2 linked regions of the Arabidopsis thaliana genome follow. The protein of the gene in region 1 interacts with the protein of each later gene in a biochemical or structural test. Each region holds a gene or a part of one and is shown on either strand. Other genes may lie near its edges.

Region 1 (5,509 bases):
GAATCCAATGGTAAGATTAGTGTTCATACATGTATTGGAAAATGACAAAGTGTCTTTATTGGTTGGATGATTGTGATTGGGCCAATTCGAGAAGACGACTAAAATGGACAAGCTCATTGAATTCACGGCCTCCAGTGGACCACGTTGGCCCATAATCGGATATACACCATACATTTATCAGTTGGTCAAATCAAAACCTTTTATCATAGAGTGCAGAGTATATTTTTCTAAGGGTTTTGCTTAATCCGCTATCTTTTAGTGGGCCAACAACTACAAATTGGATTGAAGGAGAACCAAGGAAACCACCCAATTTAAGACTCTTGTCTTTTCGTAATCTAACCAACATAACGTGCTCGTCAGATTTTTGCATTTGTGTGTTTCCTACTTTTCCTTTTATGCTCAACAGGATAATTAGTTACATATAACCACAATTAAGGAATTAATTAAAGCATATTAAGTGCTTTAAAAGTGTACGATGTGATTGTGTATATAGTAAATTGGATAATATATAGATCGTGGAGCCTACAATTATTGCATTGAAAAGGTGATATATATGTTGATTACAGTAATTATAACTGCTGAAGCTGAAATTAATGGATTATGGATGATTGGATTCAATGTGGATACCAAGAAAAGAAAATGATTGATGAGAATTATTGGTGTATGATCTTATATCACAGCCACATGCGATAGGATTATATAAAGTCCACTAGCTATATATCTATTTTAATAGTATATTTTTACAATGATGTGATAAGGACAACCTCTTACTTATCAAAAAGGTGAAAGTAGATCAGTTGTGTTAGTTCATGGCTCAAATCTTGACACTTCTTTTTACATAATGACAAAATTAATAGCAGAAGAAGACTGTGTTTTATGAGTTGTTAAAAATTACATCTATATGTATGTTAAATATCATGTTGAATAGTTAACTAATCCTTAAGTAATGGTTAAGTTAGAGTGTCTTGTACACATAGCATTACTTCACATCCACGATACGTTACTAATGTATTATAGTGGCCATTTAAAACAAGTAATACATTTTTTTATATTTTATTTTTCATTTATATAAAATATAATTATGATTACATAACAAGAAGATACATACTTGCCAACTAAAAATTAAGATTTGTCGAGAAATTTCCTGAATAATTATGTCAGAGATATTCTCCGGGTAAAAAAAAAAGCAATTACATATAACCCGGGATATTTTTTTTTAATTATTATTTGGATAATTTATTTGACAGATACCTAAACTACGACGTCGTATGTACTTGAGTTGGTTCTGGGTCCGTTTGGTCTGATTCGTGCACAAGCTCGACGAAGAAAGGCCTGAGTGTATCTGTCCATAAATCTCGTCCAGATGCAGCGGCTCTTTGTCTCTTCCTCACCTCTATCATAACCAGCTCGTCCGTTAGCTGGTTTATCTCAACCACCATTGCGAAGTTACCTTTTTGCCCCTCGATCTTCATCCCCCATGTTTCCTTCTTCGCCACCGTCAGATTCTCCGCCGACACGATCTCCTCCAGCCTCTCCACCACCCTCTCCGCCGTCCACGCCGACACGAACCGTTCCACTCGGTCGTACTTTCTGGCGTCTCCGAAAAGACCGGAGAGATTGAACCCTGGAGATCCTGAGATGATGTCGAATGCGTTCATCCTCCTTGCTCCCATCTCGCTGTCGGTCTCGTCCGCCGGGAGTTTCATATCGGAGTCCTCTAGATGGAATTTAGACATCCGATCGTCGTAGCCCTGTTTGAACCATGGATCGTGGATGATCTCTTCGATAGTGATCCTCGTCTGCGGATTCGTGTCTAAAAGCCGAGTCAGCAGTCGCCGGAGATCCGGTGAGGTCCACTTGGGAATGCGAAATTCTCCCTTGTAGATTTTCCGGTACATAACCATGAGATTATGGTCGTTGAAAGGGAGATAACCGGCGTTGAGGACGAACAGTATGATTCCACATGACCATATGTCGATTTTAGCACCGTCGTACCCTTTCTTCGCCAAAACCTCAGGCGCCACGTACGCCGGCGTACCACAGAGTGTGTGGAGGAGGCCGTCGGGTCGGATCTGATCGGTAAGAGCGCTGAGTCCGAAATCAGAGATCTTCAAATCGAGCTTCTCGTCGAGGAGGAGATTCTCCGGTTTGAGATCACGGTGAAAGATGCCGCGGGAGTGGCAATATCCGACGGCGGAGATGAGCTGCTGGAAATAACGACGGCTAAGATCCTCGCAGAACCTGCCCTTGGAGACTTTGGCGAATAGCTCACCGCCCTTGGCGAATTCCATGACGAAGAAGATCTTGGATTTGGTGGCGAGGACCTCGAACAGGCGCACGATAGAAGGGTGGCGCAGACGGTGCATGATAGCGATCTCTCTCTGAATGTTGCCATTGAGTCCTCCTTTCTGCAGCCGTTGCTTGCTCACCACTTTGATCGCAACGCTCTGACCCGTCGCTGTGCTCCTCCCGTGGTACACTTTCGCGAAGGCGCCGCATCCCACCAATTTTCCGACCTCGTATTTGCCGAAGAGCTGTCCACGGCGGTTCTCCGGCGGAAATTCCACCGGGTCAGAATCTACCATTAAAAACAGAATCTGCTAGGTCAATTATGGTACACAGAAACTGAGGTCATTGCGAATGAATCAACGCCGTAGAAAAAAAAGAAAAGAAGTCTGAGAGAGAGAGTGTTGTTATTAATAGAAGAAGCGAAAGGAAAATTAGTAGTTTGAAAAGTAAAAAGATATGAACAAAAGTAACAGATATTTAGAGAGATCTGTTAGCAGAGAAAACAAAAGAGAGACAGACAAATTGGGAGGATTCGGATAAGAGATAAGCCATGCTCTGTATCGAGTTGTTACATATATATTACTGTCTTGAGGTAGGAGATGAGGGTATTTTTGTCAATTACTATCAGATTCTTTTTCCTTATTTTCTTCTTCTTTATTTTCTTTGTAAAGACGTGGGAGATTTTCTGTTTTGTTTTCTTAATATATCTATTAAAAAAAGAAGAAGAAGAAGATGAAGATGTGGACAAGAAGTTGAATTAGAACCATACAGGTGTCCCGTCGCTGTTGTCGTGTTGATTTGGTATCTCCGAGGGTTTAGGCTGTAGAATATACTCATTTCACACATATACGCTTCGTCGTATCTTCGGCTATTTGCTATAATATTATTATTACAAGAACATATAAACATGTTTCCTCCAATATTGTTGAATATTATTATTTTATGGTCAACTCAAAACGGAGAATTGTTCTTTCGACTAGCCTAGGCAGCTAGCTCTAGTTAGTTAGTAATTCAGCTAACCACTGCTTTGTTTAGTCATCAATCGTGGTTAAGTCCTTTGAACATCCAAATTCCCCTTATTAGTATTAGTTCAAGTCTCATTTTGAGCACCAGGCTATATATTGCGGTTGACAGGTTACTACAACTCCCGCCCCACTGCTCAAGGTTGGAATCGTCCTATAACTAGTGTCATTTCCTAATCTTCCTTAATCTTTTCAAATCACTATCTAAACTCTACGTTCATTTTTAATTATGATTCTTATGTTTATTTTTCCACTCCATCACTGTTCCAAATAACTTGAATTATTTATCAAATTTAAACAATACTTGGGAAAATATATTTCATGCTTTTTGTATACATTTCACAGTTGTTTATTTCACTATTTTTAGAAAATATATTTGCTTATGTTGGAATCATTAGTTAATACATTTGGAAAACATATGTCATTCCTTTTTAAAAATCTCCAGTTGTTTTTTCCCATATTCGTGGAAAAATAAATCGAGTCTTATGGGCAAATTGATCTATTTGATGCTTTTTGAAAAAAAGAAATATGACTACATTTAAGATTTCAATTGATTATTTTCAATATATGTTTCACATTATAAAGTACAAACAGTGCGCTTGAAAAAATAACTTTTGCCCAAAATAAAAAAGAAAAACAAATTTGATTAATATTTAACATTATCTCATTGTTTTTTTTTAATAGTTACTATTTTCTTACTTAGCTAAGTTGGAAAGTCAGTATAATTTTATAAAGATGTATTAGTTCCATGTATGATCACTACCCACAATCACACTAATTATGTCCCAATTCCTCAGACTTAAACATTTGACGACTTAGAAATCATCGCATTGCATTGTTAGAGTGCAAGGCTTTTATAATCTTGTGAAGTTTTGGTTAAAGTTTAATACCAAAAAAAAGAGGATAAATTTTGCAGTGTCAATTTTTATAGTAAATCTACGACGTGATCTACCCACCGCAGCGTACAACAAAATATAAAATCAATTTTAATTATTTTTGTAATTTATCCAAAACACACAACGTTTTAAAGATTAGATAAATCGTACGTTACTATTTTCGCTGTCACGCTGTGCCCATTTGTACATATATATAAATCCAAGCCACACATAAATTAGTACTATTTTTTTTTGGTAGGCATAAATTAGTACTACAGTATTCACATAAAACCAAATCAACATCTTTTTTAATATATATAAATCCATTAAAAGACATGTACGGGAATAAAATAAAAATAAATTACCGCGTTAATAATGTGATGTACGAAAGATTTCATTTGTTTTTAATTTTGATTTTTTCTGATGCTGTTTCATGGAAGCTTCTTTCGTTGGGGAAAAAGAGAAGGAGGAAGGAAAGAAGCTCGTTAAATAATTACGAAATCAAGGTTCTGTCAATAAAAATGGATGGTTATATAATTGCCCCTTTTCTTTCGTTGGTTCGAAAGGTTGCTCCAATCAAAATATCTACTGATTTTGAATACATTATTAATTGTTGACAAACAAAATAAAAGAATACATTATTAATTTAGCTTGTTACTTTTGGTCCCATGCAAGATTAATGTGACCATATAACCCATTTTTACGACAAAATTTAACGATATAATATATATGACCATAAATAACTTCTGAAGTAATTAACAAAAGAAAACATAAATAAAATGAATTAAAAAAATGGAATATACGAGGTCCATGTTAATATGTTATAAACACGTTTACAAAAAAAAAAAAAAAACGTAATGCAAGAATAAATGAAGGCTGCAGGAAGAAAAATAAAGGGCTTTCGTGCAGAAGAAAGAAACGTACGATAACATAACTGATATCTCCCGTAAGCATTGTCTTACGTTTATTAATGGTCTGGCGACTATATAATTTCCATTAATTCAACATCTAATTACAGTATTTGTCCGTCCACGATATGCATGTATTGATATTTGATATCGTAAAACCAGAATTCTTTTTTTTTTTTTTTTTTTTTGAATACCAGGAGGTTCTGGGTCGAAGCCCGTAATTCCTCAGACCCGAAACCACATCATGTAATATTAGTTTCGTTCCAAGCGTCACTCGAACCGACGATCTCTAAGCTTCGCCTAGGGTCTTTACTAATTGAGCTAACGACGCTTGATAACCAGAATTCTTTTGTTAAACTGTATTTCTGGTATACATAGATTTACATTCGTTTCATCATGAAGATTAATTACAAAC
Region 2 (6,403 bases), about 22 Mb from region 1:
AGAAAAAAGCTGAAGAGAGTGCGTGAAGTATGGTTGTTGGGTTGAGTTGGCTTTTAGAAGCATTATTTGATCTTGAAGTTGAGTTTGTGTCTAGTATGGCTGAAGATAAGATGAAGAGTAAAAACTGTTTTTTCAAAATGAAAAGTGTTTGGTAGTATATATTTCTTGGAGAAAGAGATAGTCTACATAGAGCGTGAAGAACTTTTAGAAGAAGTTTCTTATTTCAGTCTTGTAAAGAAAAACAAGAAGAATGGTCTTCCATCTCGTTTATATGATTTATTTTTTATACGCTAAAAATATGATTGATCATGTGTTTTATTCAATTTTAAAAGCACATTAACATTAATCAATCATTAATAGATCTAATGTGCTTGATGTTTTAGTTGGTCTTATAAATTAATTTCACCGATAAATGAATTTTTTTTTCTCCGGCGAGATAAAACATTACATGGTGAGGCTTCAAGCTAAAGTTGGCTTCATTACATCTAACAATTTCGACATTTTTATGTACGAAACTTGTAGTTATATCAAGCTTAGTTTCTTTGAATTTTAACTATCGTTTCCAAGGCAAATCTCTCATATTTTTTAACCATAGAAAAATAATCTTTTATACTCTTTTTATTCTTTCAAACCAATTAATCTTTTTTCTATGAGGAGATTTTAGTTATTTGTGTGAATATAGTTATGAAAACATGTAGACAATAATTGAAACCTAAATGTGAAAGGTCCAAACTTAAACTTTTTTGTGGTTTAAAGCATAAAATTAATTTTCAAAAATATATATGTCAAAATGATGTATATAAAATAAAAACTAAATCATATTAATGAAATATTCCTTTGAAAGATAAAAAAGCTGAAGAGACGGCATGAAGTATGGCTATTGAGTTGAGTTGGCTTTAGAAGCACTGTTTGATCTTGAAGTTGAGTTTGCGTCTAGTATGGCCGAAGATAAGATGAAGAGTAAAAGTTGCTTTTTCTAAATGAAAAGCGCTCCTTGGAGAAAGAGATAGTCTACATGGAGCGTGAAGAACTTTTAGAAGAGGTTTCTTATTTCAGTCTTGTGTAGCAAAACAAGAAGAATGGTCTTCCTTCTCCTCAAGAAAGAACATGGAAGTCATTGAAGCATAAATGAGTCATTCTTCCATTGCCTTACTACAAACACAATGTTCCCCTCATCTACAATGGATGGGAAACTTGATTGGCAAGTCACTTCCTTTTGTATTAATGTAGGGTTCTTGGTGAGGGAAAATCGCTAATTCTTCAATTAGGTTTTTTTTCCCTTTTCTCACCTCTTCTTCTTTTTGGAAGAACATTATTCATGTCTCTGCTTCTCAACCATCCCCCGAAGCTCTGCTTTCGTATACCCTTGTTGGTAAGATCATCTCCTCTTCTCTCTAATGGCGTCTCATCGAAGATCCACTTTTTGTCATCATGTAAGTTGATTCTTGTGGAGCTGATCTCGGAAAACTCGTCATTAGGAGGGCTGGTGACATCACTCAGTTTTGACTAGTTTTGCTTACAAGTCACATATGAAATGACTAGTTTTGCTTGCAATCTAGAAATCCATTGAATTAATATTAAAAGCTAACTCTAATAACCAAAACACAGAGATTGAAGCAAATCTTTTTAATTGGATTAATAAATAAACTGAAAAACTTTACATTACCATAACATCAAGATGCAAAAGTTGTATCTACAGATAGACCGAGCGAAATCAAAAAGGACAAAAACCAAACTAAAAAGAAGAATTTTGCTTCACAAAAAAAGCTCAATAAAAAATAAAATGAGTTCAGAGATTTAGAAATGTAACAAATAAAGAACCATAACGAAAGAACAACCTTCAACAATACAATGATGTCTTGCCGCTGCTTGCTTTTGCTTTTGCTTTTTCAGGTATCTTCAACCTGAGAATGGAACACAAAGCTTGGAAACGTAGTCGTGATATCCCTGCAGAGCAAGCACACAACAGGATCACGACCTTTATTACATATCATGGAGAATAGAAGAAAGAGAAACCAGAGAAGGAATTTGGTTGAATAGATTCAATCCTGGTTATATAAATAGAAAGATTTGGAACTCACTTGAGATATTGAAGAGTCATGTTCTTCAGAAGGCTGGGATGTCTAAGAACAAGGCTTCTCCACTCTTCCTTATCGATCTTTCCATCGTGTTTTGTGTCTGCTTCCTCAAACGTCTGAAACATTCAAAACTCGGGAAATTACTTTCAAAGAAAAAATATAGGGTGAAGAGGAAAAAAAGTAAGTAACTTACCTTGTCGATTATATCCTCAATGACAGTATCCTTCAAATTCATTCCAGATTCAGCAAGCGTAGCGACAACCATTTGTTTCACCTGGACAAATGATGGACGAAAATGTCAGTGAGGATAATAAAGCGCACTTCTACAAGGTTATATATGAAGCTATTTGAAGATATGGAAGCTTTACCTCTTGCCGTTCGATAAACCCTTGCTGTTTAAGATCATATAGCTGAAATGAAACTGCAAAAAAATAGTATATATCATTAATGTGTTATCCCAATCTTGTTTTTGAGATACAAGCTAAAAGGGACGTACAGTGAATTTTGTCATCTATAGGCGCATTTGGGTGAAAGACGGAGAGAGCACGAGCAAATTCCTCAAACCCCAGTATTCCATTGTGCTTTGTATCAAACAAATCGAAAACCTAGAAACAAAATCACATATTTCAGCATTTCTTCTAAACTTGATCTTGACAAAAATGGGTTTAAGAACACTTATAATGTGAAGAAAGAAACATTACCCGATCTGCAAACAAACTCTCTTTTTTATTTGTCTTAAACAAAGCCAACTGAAACTCTTCCTGATACAAACAAGAGATGAGTAAATTAGACAGATTGTTAGATCAATCACTAAAGCTTTACCAAATGAGGAAGAAGATCAAACAAGTTAGAGTTATACCTTGTTTATTAGCCCATCATCAATCACGGCACTGCTGATTTTCTTAAAAAGCTCATAAAGAGCTTCTATTTCACTCACACTAACTGCATTCCAAAACCAAATTCAATCATCAATAGTCTTCAGAAGAAATATTTTTGCATTCCTCAAATGGTATTGCATCGAATCTTATAACCGGAAAAAAAAAAAAAAAAAAAGAGTAGAGAAGGTGATAGGGCATACAAACAGTGTCTCTTGCAAGCAATTCAGGATCTCCAAGGCCACCAGATTGTTTATACAAATCAAGATCAAAACACCCTAAAACAGAGGTGCATAAATGCTTGATACCGTCAACGCACTGCGACATGATATATCTTAAGCAGCAAATCAAAACTCTCCATGCCTGCATATAAAACATTGTGAACTTGTTTTGCTAATTTCAAAAAACAGCTCTACAGAAGCAAGCATATGAAGAACACTGTACCTTTCAACCATTTCCTAGTGTTTTTTGCTGAGAAAGGATGAGACTTTGCGAGAGTATCTGTAACACAAGTTGCAAAATTCAGAGTAATCTAAATAAGTCAGTCAATATAGGCAACACAAACATTGCTTAGAAACTGAAGTCATTATCATGATTTTACTATTCAGATGATTCAGTTATGTCCACATAATATATACAATATTGAAGAAGATAAGAAAATTAATGGAGAATCTAAAGACTTAATCAAAGCTCATTAACCAAATTTTAATCTTAAACATCACAATTTATGGACACACAAAATTAATAAAATCCATCAGAAACAAACCCAAATTGGGAAATTTGAATTTATACATTAATGAACTCAAGGATTACACAATCAATTACAGGTTCTGAGAAACAAAACCCGATCTAGATCCCCAAAAATCGTCCTAATGGATTCGTGAATCGCAGATTCAACAGAGATAGAAGAATCTTGATATGTAAGTGAACTCAAAATGAGTAGAATGGATTTGCGTATACGAAAATTTACCGATTACGTTGATTCTCAATCTCAAGTCGGCTCTGGTTGTTGAAGCTGAGCGAGGAAGACGGAGACGATTTGTTGTAAAGCAGAGGAGAGAGTTGGAAAACAAATTAAAACCTGAAGAATCTTTTTAAATATCTCAACAAACAACAAAAACTCAATCTTTTTGCATTATTACAAATTAAATCCTGAAAAATCTGCTCAAATCGTCGTCGTTTTATTCTTCAAAATACGGTTCGATTTGATTTTCGTTCCGGTTAAGTAAAACTCGAGCTGAATTGAACCGGACATAAATTTGAATTTCACATTCACCCATAGAATATATGATCTATTGTGCTATTGGAGAATTTAAGTTTTCAAAAAATCTTCAAATTAGTACATTTTTTACGATGTTAAATGCAAAATAATCATACAAAATCAAAGATAATATGTGATATAGCCATTTTTTTCTATTGTCAAATTTTAAATTTTTGACAAGTAACATATAAAATCGAACCTCCCGAAATGATAAGTTCAATTATATCTTCAGAAATTTTAAAAATAATGTGATCATCAAAACGTTTACAATATATATAAATTTGCAAAAATATATTATATTGCGTATTATTTCTGACTTCGTAAAATTATTTTATATTTTCTTTATATAAAATGTAGACAGAAAAATTCATTTCAAGTATTTTTGAAGCATATAAAATGTGTATGTAATAAATGCTTAAATTTGAATCAAATTGGTGAAAATTAGATAAAAGTTTACCTTGAATCGGGTTAAGCCGATTTCAAGCGGTTTAGTAATACAGACCAATGTCTTTTTCGATAAAAATTATTGAACAATGTCAAAAGAAGAAGTAGAAGAAACAAACAAATAACAAAACCGACAGTTATTATACCGAACAAATCCAGTAACCGGGTTTACTGAGCCTTGAGGGAGTCACTAAACCGGCTCGACTTGGACGACAATAAAACAGCGAGGTTCGACCCAATAGACCCGGCACGTGTCAACGAATCAACGCGGTGATACCTGCACCTGAAAGAACCGGCGTGTGTCGTCGGAGAACATAAACAATTTAGCCTCGTAGATTTACCGGAGGACGATCTCCAACGTTTTAAACTAGGTGAGTTATTGTCTTGGCTCTTCGATTCAACGGTAGAGCTACCGGAGGGTTTAGGGTTGATCTTGGCTAAACTTGTGGAATACTTTTCTTGTGCCTTAGGTTGTCCGAGATTTAGGGTTGAAGGGTTTTCTTTCGTCATGGTTTTGACGAACGTAAATAAGAATGAATTTGTGTTGTTGTTTCTTGCTAATGAATCAAAAGGTAATTTCTATAGTGACTTTTGTTATGAAGGTAAAGAATGATTTGTGTTGTTTCTTGCTAATGAATCCAAAAGGTCATTTATAATAGTGACTTGTGAGAGAAGGCAGCTAAAAATAGTCGTTGGATGTTGTTGACAAACTGCTTTTTTAAGTTATTGGTGGTTAGTATTCTAGAAAAGAGTTATTGTAAATTAGTAGAAAATATTTGACTTGGAGGTTTTATTCTTCTTTTTATGGTTTACACATTTTGTGCAAGGACAAATATTATGACTTTTCAACCAATTAGGAACATACTTAGTTGTGTTAGTGCCAATTGAGAATCTAGAACAGTCTAATTTAAAGATTCTGTAACCAAAAAAAAACATCTGATTGTTTTTGTTTGGTTTGTGCCTATTTTAGGTTTTGACAGACTCAAAGGCTTAAAATTCAAACTCTAAATTAAACACCCTAAGACTTACTTATATAGCTGAAGTCAAAACCATCTCAAAGACTCCAACTATTTAGATGCCATGTCCAAAACTTTTATACTTATGAGATATAGTTAATGCTATAAAAATATTTCTTTTAAGAAAACCGACATCCTAATTGATAGTTAATGAAGTAATGTTTGGGTTTTCAGTTTTAAATTGCAAAAAAAAAAATTGAACATATAAAAAAATATATACATCAAGATATGTAAATGAGACGAGAGAAAAAACAAAATATGTAGTATAAACACTATATTAAGATTCTATAAAGTTGTTGCCATTGTGATTTGCATCATCTACTCACAATGTACATAACGATTACTGGTGAGCTCTTTATGTACAAAAAATTTGACACTCACACAAGTAATCGACTTTGCTTCAATCCAAAACTAAAAAAAAAAAAAACTGAGAAAGAAAAAAATTATATTGAGCTTTTGTTGCTTTTAGGGTATTTGCTTTGTCATCTTGGAAGATCTTGTTTGCAGAGAGGACAACAAGAGATGATACGAAGCCATTGATCTACACACTTTGAGTGAAACTTATGTGAACATGGAAGCTTCCTTACTTCTTCTTTGTCTTTATACTTTGCCAAACATATACAACACTCCTGCAAAACCAAATCAAAACTCAAAATCTAAGTCCTTTTCAATCATAAACGAGACTAATAGACAACATTCGACATCAGATTCCCTTAGTGGATCAAAACA

Evidence for each region. Proteins that work in one complex are often made in the same cells at the same time.
Region 2: the proteins of SR1 (region 1) and CBL2 form a complex in vitro, tested with the Arabidopsis thaliana proteins (4 studies listed by BioGRID, with this or other methods).

What each region holds. Positions count from the first base shown.
Region 1 is NC_003076.8:312,167-317,675, forward strand, and holds SR1 (serine/threonine protein kinase 1), read right to left. Parts: upstream 3,240-5,509; 5' UTR 2,586-3,239; coding exon 1,257-2,585; 3' UTR 1,024-1,256; downstream 1-1,023. UniProt on the Arabidopsis thaliana protein: CIPK serine-threonine protein kinases interact with CBL proteins. Binding of a CBL protein to the regulatory NAF domain of CIPK protein lead to the activation of the kinase in a calcium-dependent manner.
Region 2 is NC_003076.8:22,669,066-22,675,468, reverse strand, and holds CBL2 (calcineurin B-like protein 2), read right to left. Parts: upstream 4,357-6,403; 5' UTR 3,924-4,356; intron 3,455-3,923; 5' UTR 3,398-3,454; intron 3,317-3,397; 5' UTR 3,281-3,316; coding exon 3,157-3,280; intron 3,021-3,156; coding exon 2,938-3,020; intron 2,840-2,937; coding exon 2,780-2,839; intron 2,684-2,779; coding exon 2,575-2,683; intron 2,500-2,574; coding exon 2,447-2,499; intron 2,353-2,446; coding exon 2,272-2,352; intron 2,195-2,271; coding exon 2,082-2,194; intron 1,948-2,081; coding exon 1,890-1,947; 3' UTR 1,839-1,889; exon of another isoform or gene 1,614-1,838; intron 1,556-1,613; 3' UTR 1,369-1,555; downstream 1-1,368. Other genes in the region: AT5G55980 (serine-rich protein-like protein), read right to left, coding at 4,827-5,168; AT5G55970 (RING/U-box superfamily protein), read right to left, coding at 6,157-6,303. UniProt on the Arabidopsis thaliana protein: Acts as a calcium sensor. CBL proteins interact with CIPK serine-threonine protein kinases. Binding of a CBL protein to the regulatory NAF domain of a CIPK protein lead to the activation of the kinase in a calcium-dependent manner.